Macaca fascicularis: one gene and its partners. The protein of the gene in region 1 interacts with the protein of each later gene in a pairwise test. Links are inferred from orthologs where the notes say so. Each region holds a gene or a part of one and is shown on either strand. Other genes may lie near its edges. The genes, in order: NFYC, SREBF2 and DR1.

Region 1 (4,921 bases):
ATCTAATAAGAGTTTTTTAAAAAATCAGCATACCCATTTCACCTTATTCTGAGAGGTTCTTAAATTTTGACAAAGGGGTTAAAATTCTTTCACAGGAATCTTTCACAGTAAAGGATGGTCTCAACGTATGCATTAAATAAATAGGGTCATGTCAGCATAAACAGGAATATGCAGGTGAAGGCAGTTTAAAAAGACATGTGTCAGGTTTAAACTAACTCCTTTTTAAAAATATTAAAATACTGGCATTTTTTTCTTTGATGCCACACCTATCTTCATAAAGGTTTCATCCCCCAAACAGTCTGGATTAGTAACAACTAATATTACGTAGTTCTTCACAATTTGCAAAGTACTTTGACACACATGATCTCATTCAGGACTCACCACTAAATAAGACACTATTTTTAGGTCCCATTTTTACATGTGAGGAAGCTAACACTAAATGGCTGACTTGCCCAAACTACAAAGCTGGTGATAAAGGTGACTAGGGCTTGAACACAGATCTCTTGACTTTAAATGGTCTGTACCATACCGCCTCAAACATTGTGATCAGAGTAAATAAATGTTGACATCTCTAGACCCTATCTAAGCCTCCCCCACTTACACACACAGCCACCCATGGTCCAAATTACAGTTAGCTCTCTAGAAGGTCTTTGCTCTTTCTGGAAGCAAAGTTTTCTTCATTTGTCTAGTAAACATCTATCTGGCTAAGGTGTTAAACACCATTTGACATACACTAGAAAATAACTTAGTCATCAAAGGTTTTGCACAGGCATGCCCATGTGCATTTTTCCAGGTAGTGGGTCAGATTCTCAAAGAGTCTATGATCCAAAAATGGTGAAGAACCTCGGCGAGAGGCAGTGACTGGGTGTCTTTCCAAGAAGCCAAATCCACCAAGTTCTCAAGTTTATGGTTTACCTCATACTGTACCACACCTTCACTTTTGCCTCCCCTGCTACAGGCCTTCTTGTAGGGCCAACAGGGTCAAGACAGTACCTACAACTGTTTTTAAAATCATATATAAAACCTGGAACAACTGATAACATATAAATAATCAATGACTTTAAAAAAGTAAATTTAAATCAAAGTAGTACCTCTTAAAATGTAATCCTTAACACATACTTCTTTATCTTAGGACTTAAATTCCCAGAATGAACATTTTCTTCTTATAAGCATTCCAATTCCCCAAAACTTTCACAAATACAACTACTCTGAACTCCTAAAATACTATTCCTTCACTAAGAACCCTCTAGATTACAAAGAAGACACGGTAGCATGCAAGGAATTCTGAATCTGTTAGGCAGTTCACTCAGCTATCATACCAAAAGAATTTAGAATTTTTTGCTGGGGGGAGGGAAGTAAAAAGAGTGGGAGAGAGAATGAATGCAGCCCTATTGTCTTATTCCCTGAAAACTCCTAATTTGAATCTATAACATATTCCTACTAACCACTCGACTTGAATATCAGAAGTACAGTCTCTTTTCATCTTAAATAGAGCTTTTCAGTCCAAATCTGTATAAACAAACTTTGTCCTTCAATCTTTCAACTCCCCGGCAGTTTTTCAAGGTCACTTTTGAAAGCAACGACAGAGGCCTGCATCTAGAACTTTGACTTGCTATATCATTCCAACTCCAAGAGCCCCAAATCTAAATCCTATCAGTCCTCTCAGGTAAATCCTTTATTACAGGGGAAGCTAAGGAAGGCAAATCAACACCCTTGAAACTTCTCCTCTAATAGGGCCTGCTCCTTTTCCCTACCCAGAGACTAAGTGCTGCTGGCTCACGGCTCCACACTGAGTCTGCTGCAGAAATGTTCCAATGACCTTCATTCCGTATTTGCAAATAAAAAGAAAACAAAGAATTGCATTTTAAAATCAGGTGTATTATAGATTTTAGTACGTGGGATTCAAGATTTCACTGTTCATAATAACTGGCCGGTTACTGATTAGCAACCTACGTTAGCTTTGTACCCCTAAAGAGAAATATATATATATATATATATATCAAGGGCAAAAGATAGGGTGCCTATACTCTTAACTTTCCTATTCATAAACTGCAGGATTTAAAATATTTAATACGGAAAAATGAAAAGCACTTTGCTCATATCATTTTAAAGAACTAAATCAACACCTGACAAAACGTGTGAAATCTATGGAAAAAGATTTGCTCTTGTCACTGTCAATATAAGTGAAGATGTTTCTAACCAGCATTCTAAGCTAAAATGTGCATTAAAAACAAAGACTGTTACTACATTAATTAGTACTTATTAGAATCTAGAGGTAGACAGGTAAATCAAGAAAGTTATGGGAAAATTTCACACTGGCATGTGGGCCTTCACCATTAGAACCTGCAGCAGTGCAAATCATATTTTCACACAAATTTCTAACAGCAACGTGTCGCTTCCATATCTGAAAACACAGATGTCAACAAAGTGCGTGGAAACAGAAAAACTCTCACAACAACTCAGCTTATTCCATAGGAAAGCTTCAGTGCACTTGAACAAAGGAAAATTATTTGGAAAACAGTTAAGTTTACCCAATGCAAACAGAAAAGTGTTTTGCTTCTGTGTGCCCCTGAAAAATGATTAGCCTTTCTCCATGTACCTGATCCTGTCGATAGTCAACTAGGAAAGAAATCCTAGTTGAAGGACATGCAAAATCTAAACACAGCAAGGTATTCTAGGTGCACCAAAAGGTATGCATGGAATGTAAAGTGGCCATTTTCTGAACAGTGCAACTTGTCTACACTCTCTGAAGCTAAACAGTTTCTATCATTTCAACACAGAACAAAGAATTAAACTTACCGGGAACTGCATTAATTTTACATGTAGTTATTTATACCTCCTCGGACTGGGAGAATTTAAGTCACTCCTATCCCTCCCCCCCAAAGGACGGAGGAAACAAAAGGCAGCAGGAGATGCAGAAACCTGAGTCTGGAATGTCCACTCCAGTGAAAGCCCGAACAGCTGTCCTCCCACCCCCCAACAAACTATTCGCCATTTTTCTTTGTCTTTCAGCTGACCCCTGCCTCAGTGAAAAACTCCGAGGCTCCAATGAAGCCCTGCAGCCTCCTTCCACTTTAACAGTCAAAGGCATTCAATCTAGCATGCTATTTGACACCAAACCTTGCCTCCACTGTGATCCCATTGGCTGAACTGCTTTATTGGCTAAGAACACAAAGCCACGATTGGCTGTTCACGTCATCAGTTACCTCTTTTGTACACTTCCTGTTTTAAAGTTACCTTGAGAAGCAGAACAGGGGTCAGATTCAGACTTCAAACTATGGGGAACTCTAAGGGGTGGAAATGCCTGGCAAATGCACATAGCAGTTGCACTAGGGAATCATGTGTTTCTAAAACAGAATACTGAAAATTTAGAATTGTTCTTAAAAACAAGCCAAAGGGTTGTTACTGTTCCCACCCACGGGATTTCTTATTGGCTGTCAGAGTTCCATTTAAAAAATTTACGGTAATTTAACTGCTGCTGATTGGCCATCAAAGATGTCTGTAAGATACTGCTACGGTATCCTATGGTAATAGACCAGAGAAGCAATGTGCACAAGGTCGGAAAGTTGTGACCATCTTCAGTTTTCTGCTGAGCATTAAAAGAAGAAAAAACTGGGTAGGGCTAGTGCAAAGAAAATGCAGCTTCTTTAACACTAACAGAGTGATGCCAATGGCCATACAATAGTTTGCAAGATTTCTAAAAGGCATCTGTCATTATGTTAGTGGCACTTTAAAGGCACAGACTGGTATCAAGGCAAAGCACTTTATATGAAAACACAAACTAATTTAAATAGAAAAATTTTAAGGTAATGTATGAAGTTAGTGGCAGAGACAGTGGCATTTCTAGAATGTCAACCAGGAACCTAAGAAGGAAATACAATGATAAAGGTGGGAACGGGGGGTGGGGGAGGGATGACAAAAAAGCTAGAACATCAGTGAATACAATCATCCCCTGGTATCCATGGGAGACTGGTTCCAGGATACTCCCCAGCCAACCCTCTCATGGATACCAAAATCCTTCAGTGCTCATGTCCCTAATATAAAACGGTACAGTATTTGCATAAAACACTTGCACATTCCCATGTATACTTTTTTTTTAAGAGATGGTGTCTCACTATGTTGCTAGGCTGCAATGCAGTGGCTATTCAGGCATAATCAGGGCACTACCGCCTCAAACTCTTGGGCTCAAGCAATCTTCCCACCGCAGCTACCAAAGTGAGCGAAACTACACGTGCATGTCACCTTGCCCAGCTTCCTGTATACTTTAAATCATCACTAGGTTACGTATAATACCTAATAAAATGTAAATGCTATACATGTAGTGGTTATACTGTATTGTTTAGGGAATAATGACAAGGAAAAAAGTCTGCATATGTTCTATACAGACACAATTTTTAAAAATATTTTTGACCCATGGTTGGTTGAATGCTTAGATGCAGAGGGCTGATGACGTATTATTAAAAGCACATTATAATTTGATGGATTAACTAATTTATTTAAGGCAGCCACAGAGTTTGACATCACAGAGGATAAAAATCATTCCTTTTTTTTTTTTTGGAGATAGGGTCTGGCTCTGTCACCCAAGCTGGGGTGTTGCTGGGGTGCAGAGGCACGATCTCGGCTTACTGCAGCCTCCGCCTCCTGGGCTCAAGCGATCTTCCCACCTTGTCCTCCTAAGTAGCTAGGACTGCAGGTGTGCGCCACCACGCCAGCTAATTTTTATATTTCTTTCCTTTTTTCAATTTTTTTCAATTGGTAGAGATGGGGTCTCGCCATGTTGCCCAGGCTGGTCTCGAACTTCTGGGCTGAAGGGAGTCTCCTGCCCCTGCCTCCCAAAGTGCTGGGATTACAGGCGTGAGCCACTGTGCCTGGATGAGGACACATTTTTTCTCACTTTTTCTTTCTTTTTTTTTTTTTTTTG
Region 2 (4,740 bases), on another chromosome or scaffold:
TTACAGAGGCTCATGCCGGTAATCTCAGTACTTTGGGAGGCCAAGACAGGAGGACTGCATGTGCCTGGAAGTTCAAGACTAGCCTGGGCAACACAGTGAGACCGGCTCTACGAAATATATATATATATGTGTGTATATATATAAATTAGCTGGGCATGGTGGCACATGCCTAGTCCTAACTAGTCGGGAAGCTGATCTGGAAGGACTGCTTAAGCTTAAGAGTTCAAGGTTTCAGTGAGCCTTGTGCCACTGCACTCCAGCCTGGGCAACAGCCAGACACTGTCTCTAAAAAAAAATTAGGTGGCTCAGCCAGGCACGGTGGCTCATGCCTGTAGTCCCAGCACTTTGGGAGGCCAAGGCAAGCGGATCACCTGAGGTTGGGAGTTCAAGACCAGCCTGATCAACATGGAGAAACCCTGTCTCTACTAAAAATACAAAATTAGCCAGGTATAGTGGCGCATGACTATAATCCCAGCTACTAGGGAGGCTGAGACAGGAGAATCACTTGAACCCAGGAGGTGGAGGTTGAGGAGAGCCAAGATCGCACCATTGCACTCCAGCCTGGGCAACAAGAGTGAAACTCCGTCACAAAAAACAAAAACAAAAAAACAAATCAGGTGGCTCACACCTGTAATCCTAGCACTTTAGGAGGCCGAGGCAGGAGGATCATTTGAGCCCAAGAATAGACCTCACCTCTACAAAATTCAAAAAATTTGCTGGGCGTGGTGGTGTGCGTCTCTGGTCCCAGCTACTTGGGAGGCTGAGGTGGGAGGATCGCTTGAGCCCAGAAGGTCAAGGCTGCAGTGAGCTGTGATTGTGCCACTGCATTCCAGCCTGGGTGACAGAATGAGACCCTGTCTCAAAAAATAACTAAATAAAAAGTAAAATTTAAAAGTTAGATAAATAAAATAAGACAAGTAGGAACTGATCATGGAATAGGAATGCAAAATGCATATGAATTTCTTTCTGTGCCCTTGTGGGTAGGCAGCTATAGACATACAGTACTTTCTACTGGCTCTGTAATCTTCAGTAAATTAATGAACCACCCTGGGACTCACTTTCAGGTTCTGTGAGAGGGAGATGACTAGTATAACGGTTCTCTCTACCTGACAGGGTTGTTATGAGGATTGAGAACATTAACATGTATAAGTGTTTAACACCGTCTGGCACATAAGTTCTCAAAACATGTTAGCTGCCCTTGCTATATTCCCAACCCCCACCTACCCCACCCCCCATTTGTTAACCCATTTCTGTATTTAGGAGCACTTAGTAAAGAGTCTGTGGTTAGAACTGGGGCTTCAATTAAGGGTCTTACCACACTGCCCACATGACCAAAATGGAAAGCAAGGACAAACGAAGGGGAGAAATATTACAAAAGCAAAATGAGAAAATGGCAAACAGATTCTTTTCAATTAGCTGCTGCATTTATCTCTTCCCCCAAAAGAGAATCTTCTGCTGCTTCTGTTTCTTCATCTGCACAATGGGGATGTAGCCATCATACATGCCTGCAAGGCTGTAGTGAGATCCTGGACATGAAATCATGCTGAAAACTGAAAAGTACCATGCACCTGTGTTTCTGCCTAAGCTCTCTAAGGTGAGTGGCCTTAGATAAGTCAACATCTCCTGGCCTCAGCTTCTTTAATTACCGTATTAAAATAGGGGTAATAAGAATATCTCACAGGATTGTTGTGAGGAAGAAGTGAAATAATACAAAGTATTTTGGGGCCTAGAACATAAGAGTGCAATTATCGAGTTAGTAAGATTACTAGCCTAGTCAACTGGACTCTTTCCTGAAAGGAGGGGTATGGAAAAACCAATACTGGCCCAGGAACTGCAAGAACTAGGCTCTAACCAGCCGGGTGACCTTGAGCAAGCCGCTGACCCTCTCTAAATCGTGGTTCCCGTGGTCGCAAAATGAGTATTTTAAGAGAGGATCCCTGGGCTCCTACCAGCTCTTCCACTCCGCTGTTAAGGCGCCGGAACAAAGGCCACCCGCTCCCCAGCCCGTACCCGAGGGGCCACAACTCAAAATTCCTTCTGCTTAATTCCCTTTGCAGCGTGACAGCAGGAGCGCCCGGCTCTCCATCTCGGAGAGATGTGTCCACATGCCGCCGCCACTGCTCTCTTCATCAGCAACTTGCTTCTGCAGTCGCTGCCCAAAGTTTCGCGGAGCACCCGGCGACCTGGCCGTCGATCAATCCCGAGAAGCCCAGGGATTCGGGGCGCCGAGACTGGGGGCTGGGCCCCGGGAATCCCAAAGCCGCCCCCGCGTCCGGGCAGGGAGTGACAGGTGCGACGCACGGTCGCGGGCGGCGGGAGAGCGGACCACGCAAAGCGCGTGTGGGCGCGCGAGGGAGGCGGCAGCCACGCGCTCTCCTTAGGCCGCTCCCTGAGACGCCCCCGCGACGTCCCTGGCCCCGTGCTCTGGAACCCGCGACCCTCGCGCCGCTTTCGGCCCCGCGGCGCCCCAGATCCCACGGCCTCCCGGAGCGGCGCGGCTGGGCAGGGCTCAAGCTCGCAGCGCCGGAAGGGTTGGGGACCGCCGGGGGGACAGTGCGCACTGGGTTCTTCCCGCGCGAGCCGGGGCTGTCTGGGGGTGGGCGCACGCGCACCCGGGCGCGCCGCCGTAACCCCTTCCTCCCCGCGCGGCCCCCGCACTCCCACCCACCCACCAACCACTCACCGTCGATGTCCCCCAGGGTCAGCTCGTCGCCCAGCTCCGTGAGGGTCTCCATGGTCTCCAGACCGCCCAGCTCGCCGCTATCGTCCATCGCCCGGCTCAGCGCAGAAGCCCCCCTGCCGTCCCGCTCAGGGAGACGCGGGGGCGGTGCCGTCGCCGCCGCCCATGACACCCGACAACCCCCGCCCGGTACCGCCTCACCGGCGGGTGCCACCCGCCGCCATGTTTGCGTTGCGCCCGGGCGCCGCACGAAAAGGGCGGGGCGGGATTCCCCCGCCCCATCCCGCGCCCCCTGCGGCCCCGCCTCCAGGCCGCGCGCCCCCCTGTTTGTTGTCAATGGGACCAGGCTCATCTCAGCCAATGGGCGCGCGAGGCGGCGCGTGGGGTGATGGCGCGTCATCGATCAGCAGCTCAGATTTGCATAGTGAGGTTCCTCCCCTCGCGGCCTCGGAGCGAATGCCCGGAGTAGCCGCCCGGTCATCATCTTAACCTTCTCCGCCTTGTTTAAAGGAGCCGCTGCCTTCTCCGTTGGATCTGCGCCACACGCAAGTCCGTTCACTGGCCTGGGAGTGAAGGGTTAACAGGCCACCCTCCACCTGCGACCGCTGGCCGCCTCCAGCCCTGGCTGGGAGCACATTACGTCATCTTCCCAGCTGCCTCCCGGCGCCCTGACCGCCTGAGAAAACCGGCGGAGTCAAACCTGGCCCCCCGGCGCTCGGGAGGAGTCCGGGTCATCCAAGTCCCGCTTCTCCCAGCCCCCTTACAAAGGCGGGCACGGAGGCTGACAGGGTTGCGAATTGTCCCAGGGCGGTCAGGATTTTACGTCTTCTGCTTTGCACCCGCCGTGACCTCGCGCTTTCTCCAGTGGTCCTCAATCCTTGGCACCTTGGAACCACTGAGGACCTGAAAACCACGCCAGTGCCCAGGCCCGTCGCCGGCCTCCTGAGAGGGGGGGCCCCGGGCATGAGTTTTTTGAAAAAGTTCCACCAGGATTCTGAAGCGCAGCCCACCCACGAATTTCCACTTCTTGAAGCACCTCACTGCCCCGTCTCGCAGCTGGTCGTGTTGTAAACTTCTAGGAATTTAGCCTAAGGAATAAAAATTACAAATGCTTAAAGAAATGCTGTAGGCCGGGCGCCGTGGCTCACGCCTGTAATCCCAGCACTTTGGGAGGCCGAGGCGGGCGGATCACTAGGTCAGGAGATCGAAACCATCCTGGCTAACACGGTGAAACCCCGTCTCTACTAAAAATACAAAAAATTAGCCGGGGTGGTGGCGGGCGCCCGTAGTCCCAGCTACTCGGGAGGCTGAGGCAGGAGAATGGCGTGAACCTGGGAGGCGGAGCTTGCAGTGAGCCGAGATCGCCTGGGCAACAGAGTGAGACTCTGTCTCAAAGAAAAAAAGCAGCACTGTAACTAGGAAGAGGTGAGAATAAGGAAATGAATATGTAAATTACATCCACACGATGGAATACTAAGGGATCATTAAAAATTATGCACACAAATGTATATTTATTGGCAAGAAGAGGCGTTCACAATATATTGATAAAAGGGAAAAGTAAGTTTCCTGCCAGTTTGTGAGAGGCAGCTGTTGCTTAGTGATCAATAATTAAGAACAGGCTGTGTGGAGGCAGACACGTGGATCCAGTAATTCACTGTGTGTCCTTGGGCTGTTTAATTGTTCTAAGCCTCAGTTTTGTCATCTCTAAAATGGGGATAAAATAGTATCCCTCATAGCTGTGGTTAAGTGAGATTATTTGCACATTCAATTGACAATATTTATTGACCATCTCTGTGGCAGGGAAAAGAATGTGTCCTGCCCTCTGAGAGCTTCCAGTCTAGCAAAACAAACAAACAAACAACAACAACAAAAAAAACAGAAATCCCACACCCATATTAAACATAAAAATAAATTACAGATGATGGTACAAGTGATCAAGGAAAGGTAATGGAGGTGATGAAACTAACAAGGGACCTGACTTGTGCTGTCAAGAAGACTGAAGAAGTGACATTTAAGATGAAACCTAAAATTATGAGAGAACTGCAGCTGTTACAGCCAAA
Region 3 (4,715 bases), about 53 Mb from region 1:
AAAATTTAACCTCTCAAAACAAAACTTCTTTGGAATAATTAAGCAATATGAGATTATAAATGTATAAAGTCTACAACCCCAATTAGGGAGAATTCTTGGGCGAAAATGTAGATTCTTATCCACCTAACAATAGCATAATACAAAAAAAAGAGGTAAAATTTTAAGACTATAACACGTCAATACATGATTTTCAAAAACAAATCATCTTCATTACACAATGGAAATGCTTTTTCACTATAGCTTTCTGACTCACACATTAAACTGAATTTAGCATATTCCAAAGTTGAATTATTTAGCATACTGCTTGCTACAGCTGCACTTCTATTCCATCATGTCAATCAGAAATCTAAATATATCCTAGAAAAGAATTAACTCTCCCCAAGAAGACAGACTGTAATGTGTTATTAGGTTTTTGGAACGATCCCCACTTCTGTAGTGTAAACAAATATTTAGGCAGACCCTGTTGAAATCTTTTGCAATTTTCATTAGAAAGGCAATGTTGATAAAAAGTTCTTTTTCCTTTTTATGAGTTGTAAAAAGAAATTACAGCTATCTGTGCTGGATAATCTTGTGAAAGACTTATGACAGCAATCACACATACAATGTAAAAATAAATACACAAGAGAAAAAACAGACAACTTGGCTTTCATTTTACTTGCTAGAGTATTCAGCACATCAAGTAGAAAAAAAAAAAAAAACAACTAGTACTAGTTTTAAGAATCAAATATGCTTTTTCCTAGGGATTTTTCTCCTTATGTACTGAAATGGCAGGATATATTTTAAAACTACTTTCAAGACGTCATAAAGGATTAAAAATCAATCATTTAATCCTTTTGTCAATACTGACAGTAAAATATTGGATATGGTCAACAGAAGCAGATGTGTTCTCTACTTCAGTACAACAGGCAAGTCACATTTTAAAAAGTTAAAGTATAAAAATTAAGTGACAGACAACCACCTGCCTACCAAAATGATTAAAATTAACCATTTTTTCCCTGGTTTCACAAGCAATCAATACTTTTAATTAGATTATTACGAAAGGCAAGTTCTCACTTCAAATTGAGAACAACTCTTTCACAAGAGTACATGTAAAAATATCGCAAAAGGTACATTCCCGAAACATTATGACTAGTAAATATGTTTCTCCTCTCTGAAACCATTAGAATACAGTCCCCCAAATCCCTATTACGGGACCACAACCTTTTCAGGATAAAAGAAACTGTTGAAGCTTTCAGAAGTGCTGTTCAATAAAAGCCTAAGTGTATGCATCCAAATAAGAATGACAGCAGGAAAGGACGGGGAAATTTTCCGTTAAAAAAAAAAAACTTGCATAAACTTTCAATCAAAGATTTTAAAACTTATCTCCACAGAATAGAACAAAGCAAACGACATAAAGGCAAACAAAAAGAAAAAAACAAAAATTTAAAGTTCACCCTTTTCTTACAGAATGGACCAGGAGTGCTTTCGTAACTCATTCATGAACGTACCATCAAACCATTTTTAGAGCAGAAAACATACCTCCTTTTATTCAACAACGATAAACTTGACAACGTTGAACACATTGTATATTAAGAATTTTTTAACTCATGTGTTCAGAAAATAAATCTTTTCCTCTACATTGGTGAAAGGTCAGGTGGGGAAGGGGCGCTCTGTCTCCATCCATGCTTGAAGTTCCTCTGTCTGAATTTTTAATTTTCCAAGGGAGAACTTCTGCGTTCCTTAATTATTATCTAAGTTCAACTTCAGGCAAGCAATTCCTGTTGCTTCGGCTTACCTGGCTGTAAAGTGAGATCACTCTTTATGTTTTGGGGACGTTGACCTAAATGTTTGCACTCCTTAACGTGTATTCGCTAGATGAAAAGTACTGCAAGAATGCTACAAAGGGATTGTTTTTAAAGCACGGGCTACCTACATGCCAGTCTGGCTTTTTCATTAAGTTACTTACCAGTGAAGAGGAATGAAGGCTTTGACATGAAAGCGTCACGCGATTAGCAGACTGCTCCCCTAGACCCTCATTCAAACCAATTTCCACACATGACTTACCTTGTATGACATGTTCTGGTGAGATGGTCTTCTTTTCCGATTTGTTACAAATCTCATTGGCTTCAGAAGATATAAGGTGAATGAATTCAGTGCAGCAGTTCACCACCAGCTCTCGAGCATCGTTGGCCACCCGGACATTAGGAAGAGTCTCTTTGATCATTTTATTGATAGCAGCTCTGGGGATAGTGAGATCATCATCGTTGCCAGACGAGGAAGCCATAGTACCTTCCTGTTTCTCGCGCCCCGGCTTTTAAAAACTCCCCGGCTCTGGTCCACTACTCCACGGAGATCTCTCAAAAAGCCGCCCTCGGAGAGTGATCCCGGGGGGTGCTTCGCGAAGAGGGTGCAGAAAATGAACGGAGGAGGAGCTGGCTTGAGGGCTGGGAACGCTCGCGTGTGTGAGAGATTTAGGATGAGTTTGGGAAGAAAGTGGGGGCCTGAGGATTCTAGAGAGAGCACAGCCCAGGCTGAGGGGAAAGCGCGGTGGTCCGGAAATTTGAGCGGCTGGGGAACCACCTTCGGGTCTCCTCAGAGGGGCGGGCACTGTCGCCTAACTGGTCCCCAACGGCGTCGAAGCAGAGGCAAGATCCAGGGGCACTGGCCTCGCCGCGGTACCGGGCGGGTACCCAGCGGGCTCGGCTCTATAGAGCCCGAGGCCCCGCTGCCGCTGCCGCCGCCGCCAGCAGCCGTTGCCGCCGCCTCGGCCAAACCATCCTTCAGACACCCGCGCCGCCGCCTCACAACATGTCCGCCGCTGCCGCTGCTGGAACGGCGACGGCCGCCTGGGAACTAATATGGACAGAGCCAGGCACAGTGGGAGTCGCAGTGGCTGCCACCGTGGCCGCGTAACCCGAACGCAGATCCTGGAAGCCGAAGCGGCGGCAACGGTGGTCCCTCCAGAGGCCAGGGAAGATTTGCAGGAAGCCGCTCCCGACACCCTTTGCGCCGCCGGAAGCTTCGTTCCTCAGATTTCCCCCTCCCTCCCGGACCGACTTCCGGATGTGGCTGCCGCCCTTCCCCCACCCACGCCGACGGGAGCCGCCCGTTCCCGCTGCCAGCAGCTTCCGCCTGCTGCGGTCCTGGCAAGCACCTCGGGATCCCATTCCTTCACAGGGGCCCTAGCCGGGCAAGCGCGCGCGTCACTGTACCGGAGAGCTCCAAGCACGCGCTTGGTCAGGGGCCCGGACGCTAGATCTGGGAAGGGGTGGTGGCTGGCTAGATGGGCGAGGAAGGATCGTCTCTACCCTCTCTCCAGCAGCTGAGGCCTCCGAACCCATCCCTAGCCGGATTTGGGGACAGAGGAGCGCTGGTATTGATAAAAGAACTCTCTTTGCTATTCTTTTAGGAGCCCAAATGAGGATTGAAAGTGAGAAGAATGGGGCCTGGGCTTGGGAGTGGGAGGTGGGGAAAGCACAGAATCCCGTGTGCCTGTTTCTGCGTCGTCTGGAGAGAAAGCTTTTGAAGATGTCTAATAGACCTTATTCGGGTAAAAGCTCTCTAAAGTCCTCCACCTTTTTTTTTTTTTTTTACTGCGTGGAAAATGAAACAGAGAAGTTACTTGCCTAGAGGCGACTAGGCGACTAAGTCGCCTAATAGATAAGTAGGAGAGTAGAAGTCAGTTCCAACGTAGTGGAAATGCATGGCGTACAATGAGCCGTATTAGAAGGTTCCCATTTAGACAGTTTTCATGGTGTATTCCATGTTGGCTTCTACAGGGGAAAAAAAAATGTTAGAGCATCTTAACTGTTTTTGCTTCTTTCCATAGTGACTAGTAATATCAACAGGTGTCAAGATCTAAACAGAAATTGCATTTTAAAAAGTGTGTCAGCCGGGCGCTGTGGTTCATCATACCTGTAAACCCAACACTTTGGGAGGCTGAGGCAGGGAGATCACATGAGCCCAGGAGTTCAGGACCCCCCTGGGCAACATGTGAGACCCGTCCCTACAAATATCTGTGTGTGTGTGTGTGTGTGTGTGTATTCATTCCAATATCCCACTGTTTATAGTATAGCCTCTTCTCCCATATGACAGTATGACACTCTTACGGGTTTTTTTTTTTCCACCGGGCTTGGTGGCAGGCACAGTAGTTCTGGCTACTCTGGAGGGTAAGGTGGGAGGATTGATTGAGCCCAGGGGGTCAAGGCTGCAGTGAGCTGCGATTGTGCCATTGCATTTCCAGCCTGGGTGACAGAGAAAGAGTCTTTGTCTCAAAAAACGTTAAAAAAAAAAAAAAAAGACAAACTAGGTTTGTCATACTGTCGTGTGGAATAAGAGGCTATATAAATAGTGGGATGTTGGAATTTCTAAAAACAAGACACCGTTTAAATCCATTTTGTCACTTTGGTTCATCAGATTCATTACTCTTGATGACACCTGGCTTGTTGACAATGTTTTCTTAAAACATTCTGTCGGAGCCCTGTATGCTGTTCTCAAGAAGACATTACAGTTTATTACTCTATTTTTTCATTTAGCATTTTCTCCAGGACCACTTACTGGTTCTTTAATTTCTGAAGTGTGGACACTTGTTTTTCAGTGCTACTAAATTTAGTCAAAACAAAATTTCTTTGATTAAAAACAGTATTTTAATTAAATTTTCTTCAGGCCGGGCATAGTGGCTCATACTCTCAAAAATACCAGCACTTTTGAGAGGCCAAGGTAGGCGGATCACTTAA

Evidence for each region.
Region 2: the proteins of NFYC (region 1) and SREBF2 interact in binary tests that used the Homo sapiens proteins (3 or more experiments, as listed by UniProt). The link is inferred for Macaca fascicularis from reciprocal best matches to the Homo sapiens genes NFYC and SREBF2.
Region 3: the proteins of NFYC (region 1) and DR1 interact in binary tests that used the Homo sapiens proteins (3 or more experiments, as listed by UniProt). The link is inferred for Macaca fascicularis from reciprocal best matches to the Homo sapiens genes NFYC and DR1.

The regions. Positions count from the first base shown.
Region 1 is NC_088375.1:194,182,277-194,187,197, forward strand, and holds the start of NFYC (nuclear transcription factor Y subunit gamma), read right to left. Parts: upstream 3,094-4,921; 5' UTR 3,092-3,093; coding exon 2,923-3,091; exon of another isoform or gene 2,800-2,922; intron 1-2,799. UniProt on the Homo sapiens protein: Component of the sequence-specific heterotrimeric transcription factor (NF-Y) which specifically recognizes a 5'-CCAAT-3' box motif found in the promoters of its target genes.
Region 2 is NC_088384.1:9,777,975-9,782,714, forward strand, and holds the start of SREBF2 (sterol regulatory element-binding protein 2), read right to left. Parts: upstream 2,937-4,740; 5' UTR 2,772-2,936; coding exon 2,684-2,771; intron 2,593-2,683; exon of another isoform or gene 2,011-2,592; intron 1-2,010.
Region 3 is NC_088375.1:141,054,348-141,059,062, forward strand, and holds the start of DR1 (protein Dr1), read right to left. Parts: upstream 2,988-4,715; 5' UTR 2,264-2,987; coding exon 2,044-2,263; intron 1-2,043. UniProt on the Homo sapiens protein: The association of the DR1/DRAP1 heterodimer with TBP results in a functional repression of both activated and basal transcription of class II genes.